Linked DNA regions of Oryzias latipes. Each later gene encodes a partner of the first gene's protein in a complex. Links are inferred from orthologs where the notes say so. Each region holds a gene or a part of one and is shown on either strand. Other genes may lie near its edges.

Region 1 (4,193 bases):
ATTTAACTCAGTTTGCAGGTGGAAGCCCTTTTGGCAAAAGTTGTAGTTTAATTCCTCTATTTATTCTTGTGCCTCTTTAGTGAATCGGTTCAACAGCAGGAAAGTTGCCTGTGTTTTTCCTAAACATCTGACAAAATCTATTTTCTGGACAACACTGGAGTGTCAAAAAATGTGAAATGTAACTCAAAACTCTGGGATCTTCTTTCTCTGAAATCAGGTAAACTGTTGCCTAATCTGTCTATTCATTTTGACCTTAATTCATATGAAAAGTGCATTATGGGAAACTTGTGAAGCTGCTTGCGACTGGAAGTATCTGAAAAGGAGTTTTTTTGTTTCTTCCAACCAAATCAAAAATGTAAAAGGTGTTTTAAACAAGCATTGTTTAGTTTTGAACTCTGTATAGTGTTCTCTAGTAGCCCCCATGAGGTCATTCCTGATACTCATCTTCATTTAACTGTGACTGTTTCTTCTCTAGAAGTTCAGCTTTTTAATAAAGTAAGATAGATTGTTTTTTTTTAACTAAACAGGCACCTCTTGACCTAACCACTAGTTAATGGACTTTTTTGTCTTTTTGTCATTTTAATGCGTTTATGTATGACTCTTGGTTTGTTATCACAGCTATGCAGTTTTGCCTCAGACTGTTTTTGTACCAACGGAAAACAATAAAAAACACTGCTGAGGTTTTGACACAGTTTGTTTCCTTCTAGATAAACGTTATCATTTTGTTTGTTTCTTTGCATGAAAGATCACAAAGACACAGAACATGAAATAAACCCAAAAGGATGGAAAACCTTTCCTAGAAATATGCAGACTGGCCCAATTACACAAAGACTCAACCAGGAAGTTATAAAAGAAACTGCAAAAGGGCAGGCCTAACATGACTCGCTCAGGTCAAAGTTCACATAAACTTTTGGGCAAAAATAGATCCATGGGAGACTCCAAGACGCAACTAAGCAAAAGAATTGTCACAAAACGGGACCTTTCTAGAAACTGCATCCTGTTTCATCAGAGCAGAAGCAGAAGAGGCATTTAAACAGAGATTTTAACATGTTTCTAAAGTCAACAAAGAAAGTAAAACAAAATGGAGGCTGTTTTTCCAACAGTTCAGATTACAATTATCAATGTAATGATCAAAAACTGCATGTTCTGTTACCTGAAGTGATCTTTGTCCAATATTTATATTAAAATTACTGACATATGTAAAAATATATTAGTTTAGAAGGAGGCCTTTTTAAATATTTGAGTTCTGTTCAATATTTGCATCTAAATTGGTTTAAAAAAAAGAAAAGTATAATTGAAACTTTTTTTTTCTGGAAAAACAGTTGTTACCGGTATGGTCGACAGGTGGCAGCAGAGAGCTTTGGGCTTCAAATCACAGACACAACTGGTGTGAGTGCGTTGTTTTAACAGTCTGTGTGTGAATGTGAAAGAGGAGAAGCCGCGTCGCTGTGTTCCCCCGCATTGCATGATGGTCGGAGTGCCGGTGCTGACTGCACAGTGTGCCAGCTTGTTTTCCTCCCGGCTCCTGTGAAGTTTCTGGGATGGTAAAGAAGGGAAACTCCGACTGCTGCGCTCCACACGACAGGTAGGCGAGCGACCGGTACTCCGAGGCTGCCAAACGAATCTCGGCTTGTTTGGTGTCTGCGCGGAACCTCCTTCTGTCTCTGCTAGCATTAGCCCTGTGCTCTGTTTGTAACCGTCAACATTAGCTTTAGCTTTGACAGCAACTCTGCGATATTCTTCTCTTTCAGCGCAGAATTAAAAAATAATCGAGTTTTTGTATCGGTGTGTAAGGTACACTTTCATGTCAACTCTATTAAAAACAGAAAAATGAGAAAGTTACCAACAAGCTCATGCTAGCTAGTTAGCAGCAGAGCAAATCTGACAGCTCAGGTCGGAGCATTTAAACTGTAACACAAAAGTCTAATTAATCTTTCATGGGATAGTTAAAAAGTGGGTTTATACACTCTCTTTGTATTCATTTATATAATTAGTTTCAGCCTACAGTTGAAGTCAAGACATTGTTAAAAGCTTCTGTCTTCTAAAGTTGTCAAAGCTAAAATGCTAAAATTAGCATTTTGAGTTTTTCTTTTTTAATTTAAATTCTAAAACAGTTTCCCGTTTTAGTTCTGGAATTTTTTTTATATAAAACCAATCTTATAAAGATGATTGTTAAGGTTAATTCAGGTGACCCACTATGCTTCTGGTTATCTTGCTATAAACAGACTAAAACAGATACTAGTGGTGAGAGCTTCAGGGCACATTGGACATTTGTACTCCAGATCTTTTTTGTCTGCTTTCTTACATTCATGAATGTTGAAGCCATGATGGCTGTTAATTACTTATTTATATATCAATATAGGGCTTTTCTAAGGTCAAAAGTGTTTTGCATTACAATAATAATCTTTAACCATGTGGAAAGGTTGAGGGGATCAGTGTTTTGCCCACGGACACTCGAGCAGGAAAGGCAGGAAATGAACCTGCAACCTTCGAAACATGGGCCCTCCACCTACCTTTGCATCACAGCTACTGTTTCTTTCCTGTCTTTTCTCTGAGTTGATCACATCAGATGGTAAATGTAGTTTTTCTGTTTTAGTTATGTATTTGGTTCACATTCACTTCATTTCTTATCAGTTCCTTTCCCAGTATGCTTGATTACTCACCAGCCACATTATTAGGTACACCCTACTGGTACCGGGTTGGACCCCCCCTTTTTGCCTTCAAAACAGCCTTAATCCTTTGTGGCAAAGATTCAACAAGGTACTGGAAACATTCCTCAGAGTTTGGTCCTTATTGAGATGATAGCATCATGCATTTGCTGCAAGTTTTTTGGCTGCACATCTATATGCCAATTTACCATTCCACCACATCCCAAAGGTGCTCTGTGGGTTTATATCTGGTGACTGTGGAGGCCATTTGAGTCCAATGAACATAAACTAATTTTGGCATGGCGCTTCATCCTGCTGGAAGTAGCCATCAGAAGGTACACTGTGGTCATAAAGGGATTGACATGGTCAGCAACAATATTCAGGATGGATCCATGTTGTTAATGCCAAATTCAGACCCGAATGTCACAGCAGAAATGGAGACTGATCAGACCAGACAACGTTTTTTTCAATCTTCTATTGTTTTTCCCATCTTCTATTATCCAATCACTGGATATTTTCTCTTTTTCGATCCAATCTCTATAAACCCTAGACATGGTAGATCATCAGTGAATGAAACACTCAGACCAACCCATCTGGCACCAACAACAATGCAACATGCAAAGTCACTTAAATCACATTCTTGTGTTCGCTTTGAACTGCACAGATCATCTTGATCATGTCTACATGCCTAAATGCTTTGAGTTGCTGCTTTAAGACAACCACTGTCACTACTTTTTAGAGTAAAATAAACTGAGTTGAATGAAAGGTTGTTACCAGGTAAATAAGTCTGCATCTTCATGTTTTCTTCACTGCAGCCTTAATTCTTTTCTTTTGTCAGAATTGCCTGGATTTGCCTGAATTTCTCTCCTAAACGTTTAACATGAACTCACTCCAGTGTTCTTCCTCCTAATGCTATCCATCCTCAGCTTTCTCAAAGAGAATCTAAACATTTTCAGCTCGCTCTCTTGTCTTTTACTCAGTGCTGCTGTCCCTAAACCATCTCCTCCCTTTCCTGCAAATATTCTTAGTCAAAAATAGCACTTGCACTTTTATGCACTCGATTACATCACTTTGTTTTCCTAGACTTTTGCTCATTAATGTTTGTGATGTAGCAAAGAAAGTGTGCAGAAATAGTCCTGATGCACCGAAACTCGCACAGCGCTGCTACTTTAAAATCATTCAATCTGTGACTTGATGGTTTTATTTATTTTTTTACTCATTTAGGATGACACTTGCCTTAAAGAAAAATAAAATATAAAGGCTCATGGAATTATTATTTACCTAACAAAATATCCTGAAATAGCATTTTATTTTAAGGCATTTCTGTAATGTATAATATAAATAAGATGCAATAAAAAACTGTCACTGTTGACCTATTATAGTATGATATAATACTTATTTAAACTATGAAAATTCTGGAGCTTCACTGAAGCGGTTCGTTGAAGCAGCATCTTGCAGACTAACGCTGGACTGAAGCATTAATGTTTTGTGCTGACCACTAAGAGCACAGACGTATAAGACCCTCTGCTGTTAATCTCATCACAG
Region 2 (4,236 bases), on another chromosome or scaffold:
TTTATGAAAAACAAATATTACTTTCTCCTTCATATATTTGTATTTGTACACAAAATGAAATGCTAATCCTGGTTAGGTGTCCTCTATTCGATCTGTCACTTTGCAGAAGCTGAAGTGCCTTTTTCTTTGTACCAAACTGCTCCGTGGATGATTGTTTTATGTTTGCAAATCAGAAACTGTCAGTTTTGTTTTTGTGGGTTAGAACACTTGTTTTGTTATCTCCATATTATTGTGAAAAAGTAATTATTTTCAAGGAAATATGTTGAAGTATGTAATGCAGTTTTGGTCTCCGTGTTTTTTATTTCTTTCCTTTTTTGTGTAATAAATAAATATCTGTAAAGTGTCTTGGATCTCTAAAAACATGTTTTGTGTTTTTCCCCTGAAGTGATGTGAATGTGTTGGTTATTTTACCCAACATAGTTTTGAATGTGATTTTTGATGTGAAACTCTAAACTCAAACCTTTTTTTCTTCCATTTTTTTCAGTTTAGACCAGATTTCTACTCTGGTTTTACAGTTATGCAAAAACTTTATTTGTCAAATGTGTGTAGGTCTTGTTGATGTAATGTATAACACTCAGTTGCTAAGTACTTATGTCTTGTTTTTGACATAAGAAAGTAAGTAGTTGAAATAAATATTATAATAGTCACGATTGGGGGTCAAAACAAACAAAAAACTTTTTTTCTTCTTATAAATTATTGTCAATAAAGCAGCATTCTTTTTTTTCATTAAAAAAAGAGTGCTCCTTTATTTTTTATTTAAACAAAAAAGTGAATTCTGTTGACTAGTTAATGTTATTTAAAGATGGCACGATAAAATTGTGAACATCTCGGCTTGCAAATTAGTTTTAGTTGCCCGATCTTCGATTTCTCGTTTTAAATGCATATTTTATTTCTTAACAACTCCTTGCTTTCAGAAGTAACGATTTTAGGAGAATTTTGAATCCAGTATAACATTTTAATTTTATGTTTCCAAAAGGGATGTTGGTAGTTTTAGTCACATAGTCCTGTCACTGCTTTTCTTTCTTTCTTAATCTTTTATTTTTTTTATATAAATTGAAAATTTCAATATAAATTTATTTCTGGAAAAACAATACCACTTATGCATATAATTCCATAAACTTAGAAAATGTACATCACTCTTTAGGCCACGTTTTCAGTTCTAATGATCTATTTTTTGTGTCCAAGGTCTCTTTTACAATAAAACATTTTATTTAATGTTCAAAGTGGACGGTTTAGAAATAAAACGCTGTTTTTCTTTTGCGGTTGGAAGGACAATGTTTATACATATCGAAAAAAACAGATCTGTATAATGAATATTTTAAATGAAATACAATTAAAATCCCCAAATACAAGCTCAACTTTATGTTGTTTTTCATTGACATGCGCACTGAGGAACATCCGGAAGTCTGCACCGCGCAACCTCAAAGAGAGCGTAACGTTTGATTGGCTACGAACGCGGAAATGACTTCTTCCATTTAGCTGCTTCGGGTGTCAGGAAAAATACTGAAAATATATTCCCATTGATTTAGAACGAATCATCTCGTTCTCATACATGCTTCAGACACAGGAAAATCCGTCACGTTAGAGAGAGAACTGACAGTTGTAGATCTTGCTGAAAACCAGTCAGCTTCGTCTCCTTCTTTTCATTTGACCCGTCTGTGTCTCACAGCTGGTCGGAGCTCGCGATGGACGCAGACACAGACGGTTCTGGAGGGCCAGATGAGTCTGGGAGGAGGCGAAAGGTGCATGGTATGCTGAAGCTTTACTATGGGCTGGATGAAGAAGGAAAGATCAGCGAGAAGTCGCAGTCTCTGGATCCCTGCGACATCAACGGGCCACATTTTGACCCGGAGCTCTACCTCAACAAGGTCTGCCAGTTTCCTGTAAACTCGATTTATAAACCTTCTCGAATCTTCTTGCACATAGCAGAGAAACATCAAAATGCTCGTAATTCTGATCGTTTTGAGGTGACATTTAGGTGACAGTCAGTTTGATGTTTCTTCAGCTCAGGAGGGAGTGCTCTCTGGCTGAGCTGATGGATCAGGAGACCTGCATGGTGAAGCAGATTCGATCTCTGGACAGTGACATGCAGACTCTGGTCTATGAAAACTACAACAAGTTCATATCTGCCACAGGTGAAGAATCCACCTTTAAGAAAACGCCAGTAAGTTACGCAAGCATGAGAAGATGAGCCATCTTTTTTTGTCCACAGACACAATAAGGAAGATGAAAAATGACTTCAAAAAAATGGAGGATGAGATGGACTGCTTGTCTGCAAACATGGCTGCGATCACTGACTTCAGTGCTAATATCAGCGGCACGCTTCAAGATCAGCATGCACAGATTACAAAACTCTCAGGTAAGATTTGATCTCGAATTGTTTTTGTAAATGTCTTTCTTTCTGACTTCATTCTGGTTGTGTCCCTCTGGTGTCTTCTCACAGCGGTTCACACTCTGTTGAGGAAGCTTCAGTTTCTCTTCGAGTTGCCTGCTAGACTGAACAAGTGTCTGGAGCTGAAAGCCTATGCTCAGGCAGTGAGCTTTCACCGCAGAGCCCGCTGTGTGCTCCAGCAGTACAGCCACCTGCCCTCCTTCAAGGGCATCCAGGACGACTGTCACGCCATCATGGACATGCTGGCTCAGGAGCTTCGACAAAGGTTTAGGTGAGGACTGTAAGCCGACAGGAGAGAGTGTAAACGTTGGGAAATGGGAGCAACGGTCCCGCCCACGACTCAGCGATCCGGCGCCGTTATTCGCATGACCCGCCGGGCAGCGTCCGGGAAACCAAAAGTCTTTAGGCACCACCGGCACGGACACAAAAAGGATTGACAGATTGACAGATCCTCGCTGATGAACTCCTGCTGCTCTGCAGGAACTCTTCTTTCTCTTTCGGCTTTTCCCATCAGGGGTCGCCACAGCGAATCATCCTTTTCCACCTCACTCTATCATGGACATCTTCTACCCTAACATTAGCCAACTTCATGTCCTCTGTTAAGACATCCATGTATCTCCTCTTTGGCCGTCCTCTTGCCCTCCTGCCAGGCAGCTCCATCTCCAACATCCTTCTACCAATATATCCACTATCCCTCCTCTGAACATGTCCAAACCATCTCAGTCTGGCTTCTCTGACTTTGTCGCTAACACAGGCAACATGAGCCGTCCCTCTGATGTACTCGTTCCTTATCCTGTCTAACCTGGTCACTCCTAAGGAGAACCTCAACATCTTCATCTCCGCTACCTCCATCTCAGCCTCTTGTCTCTGTCTCACTGCTACCGTCTCTAACCCATAGAGCAGAGCTGGTCTCACCACTGTCTTGTACACCTTTCCTTTGAGTCTTGCTGGCACTCTTCTGTCACACAACACTCCTGACACTTTCCTCCACCCGCTCCAACCTGCCTGCACTCGCCTCTTCACCTCTTTTCCACACTCCCCATCACACTGAACTGTTGACCCCAAGTACTTAAACTCCTGCACCTTCTTCACCTCAGCCCCCTGTAACCTAACGCTTCTACCTTGATCCCTCTCGTTCAGACACATGTATTCTGTCTTACTACGACTGACCTTCATGCCTCTTCTTTCCAGAGCAAACCTCCACCTCTCTAGCTGTTCCTCCACCTGCTCTCTACTCTCACTGCAAATTACAATGTCATCCGCAAACATCATTGTCCAGGGAGATTCCTGTCTTACCTCGTCTGTCAGCCTGTCCATCAGCATAGCAAACAAAAAAGGACTCAAAGCTGATCCTTGGTGTAGTCCCACCTCCACCTTGAACTCCTCTGTCTGACCTACAGGACATCTCACCACCGTCATACTACTCTCATACATGTCCTGAACTACTCTGACATACTTCTCTGCCACTCCAGACGACCTCATACAGTACCACAGCTCCTCCCTCGGCACCCTGTCATACGCCTTCTCTAAATCTACGAACACACAATGCAGCTCCTTCTGACCTTCTCTGTACTTTTCCATCAACATTCTCAAAGCAAAAATGGCATCAGTGGTGCTCTTACGGGGCATGAAACCATACTGCTGCTCACAAATCTCCACCTTCTTCCTAAGCCCGGCTTCCACTACTCTTTCCCACAGCTTCATTGTGTGGCTCATCAACTTTATTCCTCTATAGTTGCTGCAGTTCTGCGTGTCACCCTTGTTCTTAAAGATCGGAACCAGAACGCTTCTCCTCCATTCCTCAGGCATCTTCTCACTCTTTAAAATCCTATTGAACAACCTCG
Region 3 (4,015 bases), on another chromosome or scaffold:
ACAAACAACTTAGAGAATTCATTGCCGCCTTACCTCCTCCTCCGTTAGCTCTCCAGCTCTCTTGTTGAGGTCAATGTCAGCCTTCCTCAGGACAACATGGGCGTAACGTCTGCCAACACCCTGTAACCAGATAGACAATAACGTTTACTTTTTTGTATTTTCTGCAGATACATGAATAGTCCCACAATCAGATTACCTTGATGGCGGTGATGGCGAAGGCGATTTTCCTCCTACCATCGATGTTCGTGTTGAGTACACGAAGAATATGCTGGAATTTCTCGGGGATTACCAGAGACTATTAACAAAAAACAAAAACAAAAGTTGAACATGTGAGATCCTTCAAATGATCCTCATTCTGTACCAACATCAGAGAAATTTATAAGTGATGCTCTACTATAACTGAAACTATGCATACACAAAACATTCTAATGGCTCAATATTGCTTGGTAGCATAAAAAACACTTGTACCTTACAGTAATTTGATCAGATACTTTTGTATGGTTCTGTATGTATGGTAAGCTAATACATGAGCTTGAAGACACAAGTTGCCTAAACGGTGGCTTTGCAGGGCCAAAACAAAGCAGTTGTTAAACACAAAGGGAACAGTGTTTGTATTATCTTGTACAGATCACATTAGCTAGAAAATATCATGCAATCCCAACACCTAGTATCACGGCTAAATTAGCCTACAAACATGATCGCACAAGCAGTTTCAATTAAGAAAAAACTCGCAACCAAATTGGGGAGACAGTTTAAAAATACTTAGGTTGTATTGGAAATGTTGCGAGTATTTAAAACTTTAATTTGAGCAACATCAGAATTTTAACATAGGAAATGCTAGCCGGTTAGAGTCCGTCGGCGCTCACATTTTCAATCGCTTTTCCTACAAAACATCTTCATGATTGTGTAGCCAATATTCTATTCTATAGCTTCGCTGTCGAATAAATGTTTGAAAACACCGATGATTTAAGGACAGAATTTGCGAATAAAGCTGGATTACTCTAGATTTCAAGACTGTTTCACAGTGCCAGAAAATGTTTCATACCATCTTGGATGTCGGTTCCGTGCAAAGAGGAAGTCGTGGAGTTCTCGCGAGAGGTTGAGGTGGTTGGAAACGGAAGTTGGTCCGCGGTGTTTAACTTGTCCGGCAGGGACTTGATTGTTTTTTTAAAATAAAAAATATGGACACGAAAATGATTCACTTTGATCAAATAGACTTCATAAAAATAAAAGTTCTTGCCTATTTGCCTGATAGATTTATATGTGACATTTCTTTTTATCATGCCTAAAAAAATGCTGCAGTAACTAACTGGGTGGAACGTTTTTTTTCCTTTATCTACACAATTTGCCAATATGGCGGCGGAAGCGGCAGCAAACATAGGAGCGATATCGGATGTAAACACATCAGGAAATCCAACAGAAATAGCAATGTCGTATCTCCAAAACGAGGTGACATTTACTGATTTTAGAAGTCTAGTGTCTGTCTGTGTGGGGGGGGGGGGATATTTGTCTGATTGCCCTGTTAGCATATTTGGAAACTAATTGAATTGTTGGCAGACAAGTCAAGAACTGTCTAATTCCTTAAAACGTATTTGCAGAGTACAACATTTCAGATAAACGTGTGATATAAAAGGTCAATTTGAACCAGTCTGGATCTGTTGTTTTAAGTCTACCCTCTCTTCTTGTTTGCCGCAATGAACAATTTCCTGAATACGTAGCATCACTAGTCTCTGATCACGTCCATTAAGGCTTAGTTGTTGTCAAACAAAACTGACTTTCTCTTTCAGTCAGTTTTTATTCATAGTTTGTTTGTTAAGCAGGGGTCTACGTCTCATCAGGATGTATATATATTTTTTTATTACTTTGTGTCTTTTTCTCAGAAGACTGATGGAGACTTCCCAACTCTTAACCTTGGGGAGTTGGATCTCACCACAGACGAGTTCATCTTAGATGAAGTCGACGGTAAGAAACAACTGCTACAATTCTACAGGTGTAACGAATAATCGATGAATAGATTTGTATTTCAAGGATCAAACCAGATTGATCAGCCTGAGGAAGGAATGCAATTAAAAAATCGTTGCGAAATTAGATGAATCAGTAATCAAATTGAAATGGGAACATATGGACTGAGACAGGGTAGGTTTAATCTACTATAACATGACCAAGTGCATTACAGCGTACAATACACACGTGTGATAGCATCCAAATATAATAAATCCATCATTCCAGTCCAATGTGTGGAAACACTTTGAACTGATCAAAGACATACAGTGTGCTAGAATGTTCTAATAATGTTTGGATTATGTTGATGTGGAAAAATAACAGTGGGCTGAACTTTAGGAAACTAAAAATGTCAATAGATTTAGCATTAATTCTTAATATTTATTCTACAGTAGATTATGTTGCAAAAAATAAAATGAATGTGGAAAACTTTCCCTGAACTGTTCCGGACCCAAATATTTATCTCTGAGTCACACTGGTGGAATTTTTGGGTAAAGATGCTCTGGATTTATTTTAGGTCAATGAACCAAAATGGAATCTTAACCACAGATATTGAATCACTGTTAAAATGAATTGTTACTCCCCTGTTATATTCTTTGAACTTATAGTCAAAGTGGAATGCAGAATCCGTCATTGCTTTTCAGTGTCACTGTTTGAAAACTGTTTTTTTGTAATAAATCAGTGGTTTTTTTCTGTTTTTCAGTTCATATTCAGGCCAATCTGGAGGATGATCTTGTGAAGGAGGCGCTCAAAACGGTAAAACATGGAGCTCAGTTGTTTAAGACAACCAATTCATTCATGTGTCATACGAGGAATAGATTTTTTTAAACTAAATGTATCAAAGAGCAGATTTTCTCCACGTCCAGACATTAGCCTCTGTTAACAATTATTTATTAGTATTTTTATCTCTCCAGGCTTTGACACTCAGTTTATTTCAAGCAACAGCTTTAAATCATCCGAACAATGAGATCCTTTTGTTGTTCTTTGAAAATCTCTAGAAGTAAAGGTTTATTTTGCCTTTTTAGTTTACTTTAAACCTCAATACCTCTTAATAGAAGAACAACAATGGCTGTGATGAATTTAGTTAGTCATATGAATGTTGTGTTTAATGTTAAACTGCTGACTTTCTGTCTGCCGGTCAATTGTCCTTCGTTTTAGGGGGTTGATCTGCGTCAGTATTCCAAACAAGTGGAGACGGAGCTGCAGAGGATTGAGCAGGCATCTATTAAAGACTGTATCCTTCAATATTTGTTAAAAAATGACCTGAAATGAGAACACGCCAAACTATTATTCTGCTAGTTTTCTTCTTTCTTTAACTTTGCTGAATTAATATACAGCTAATTTCTTTTTTAAATCTGGTATTACAGATGGCTTTGTGTGTTTTTGATTGGTTTCAATATCTTATAAACATAGATCAGAATAAAGACGGAGTGTCGATCGAACTTTTTGTAACCGGTAACATTTAATTTTTTGTCTTTTTAGGGAAAACTTAAATAGGAAATCTAAGTTTATATATACATTTTTAATCCATTGCAGTATGAAAGGTTTAATCCATTAAAATGAAAAGATGAAGCCAGTAAATGTTTCACAAAGGTTTTATTTATGGAAATGTTCTGTACAGTTTTCCTGATTATCTGTCTTCCAGACATTAAGGAGAGTCAGAACATTGCTCTCCTGCATAACCAGATCACTGCCTGTGACTCCATACTGGAGGTAAGAAAAGATCTCAGACCTGCTGCTGTCTTTGAGAAAACTGCTCCCGGACACTCGATGCAAGCTTTGGTTTAGCTTAACAAACTGGATATGTGTGAGAAGAAGATTATGAATGCAAAAAAAAAACAACATTTCTTTTGCTTCTCAAATGTTCCAGGTAGATATATTAATAGGAACAATTAAACAACAACTATAGTTGTGGCTTCTAGAAATGAGTAAAGGACAGAAAGATTCACTCATTCATTTGTAAATCTATTTAAGGTACATCTACACACAGTTTTATTCATAATTATGGTTATTT

Evidence for each region.
Region 2: vps54 (region 1) and vps51 share a complex: the UniProt entries of both Homo sapiens proteins name them as parts of the golgi-associated retrograde protein (GARP) complex. The link is inferred for Oryzias latipes from reciprocal best matches to the Homo sapiens genes VPS54 and VPS51.
Region 3: vps54 (region 1) and vps52 share a complex: the UniProt entries of both Homo sapiens proteins name them as parts of the golgi-associated retrograde protein (GARP) complex. The link is inferred for Oryzias latipes from reciprocal best matches to the Homo sapiens genes VPS54 and VPS52.

What each region holds. Positions count from the first base shown.
Region 1 is NC_019859.2:8,751,760-8,755,952, reverse strand, and holds the start of vps54 (vacuolar protein sorting-associated protein 54), read left to right. Parts: upstream 1-1,387; 5' UTR 1,388-1,585; intron 1,586-2,633; exon of another isoform or gene 2,634-2,760; intron 2,761-4,193. UniProt on the Homo sapiens protein: Acts as a component of the GARP complex that is involved in retrograde transport from early and late endosomes to the trans-Golgi network (TGN).
Region 2 is NC_019872.2:19,788,241-19,792,476, reverse strand, and holds the start of vps51 (vacuolar protein sorting-associated protein 51 homolog), read left to right. Parts: upstream 1-1,431; 5' UTR 1,432-1,685; coding exon 1,686-1,868; intron 1,869-2,005; coding exon 2,006-2,135; intron 2,136-2,212; coding exon 2,213-2,359; intron 2,360-2,443; coding exon 2,444-2,663; intron 2,664-4,236. UniProt on the Homo sapiens protein: Acts as a component of the GARP complex that is involved in retrograde transport from early and late endosomes to the trans-Golgi network (TGN).
Region 3 is NC_019869.2:3,226,652-3,230,666, reverse strand, and holds the start of vps52 (vacuolar protein sorting-associated protein 52 homolog), read left to right. Parts: upstream 1-1,195; 5' UTR 1,196-1,353; coding exon 1,354-1,449; intron 1,450-1,880; coding exon 1,881-1,962; intron 1,963-2,704; coding exon 2,705-2,757; intron 2,758-3,159; coding exon 3,160-3,235; intron 3,236-3,646; coding exon 3,647-3,714; intron 3,715-4,015. Other genes in the region: rps18 (40S ribosomal protein S18), read right to left, coding at 34-120, 197-295, 1,046-1,048. UniProt on the Homo sapiens protein: Acts as a component of the GARP complex that is involved in retrograde transport from early and late endosomes to the trans-Golgi network (TGN).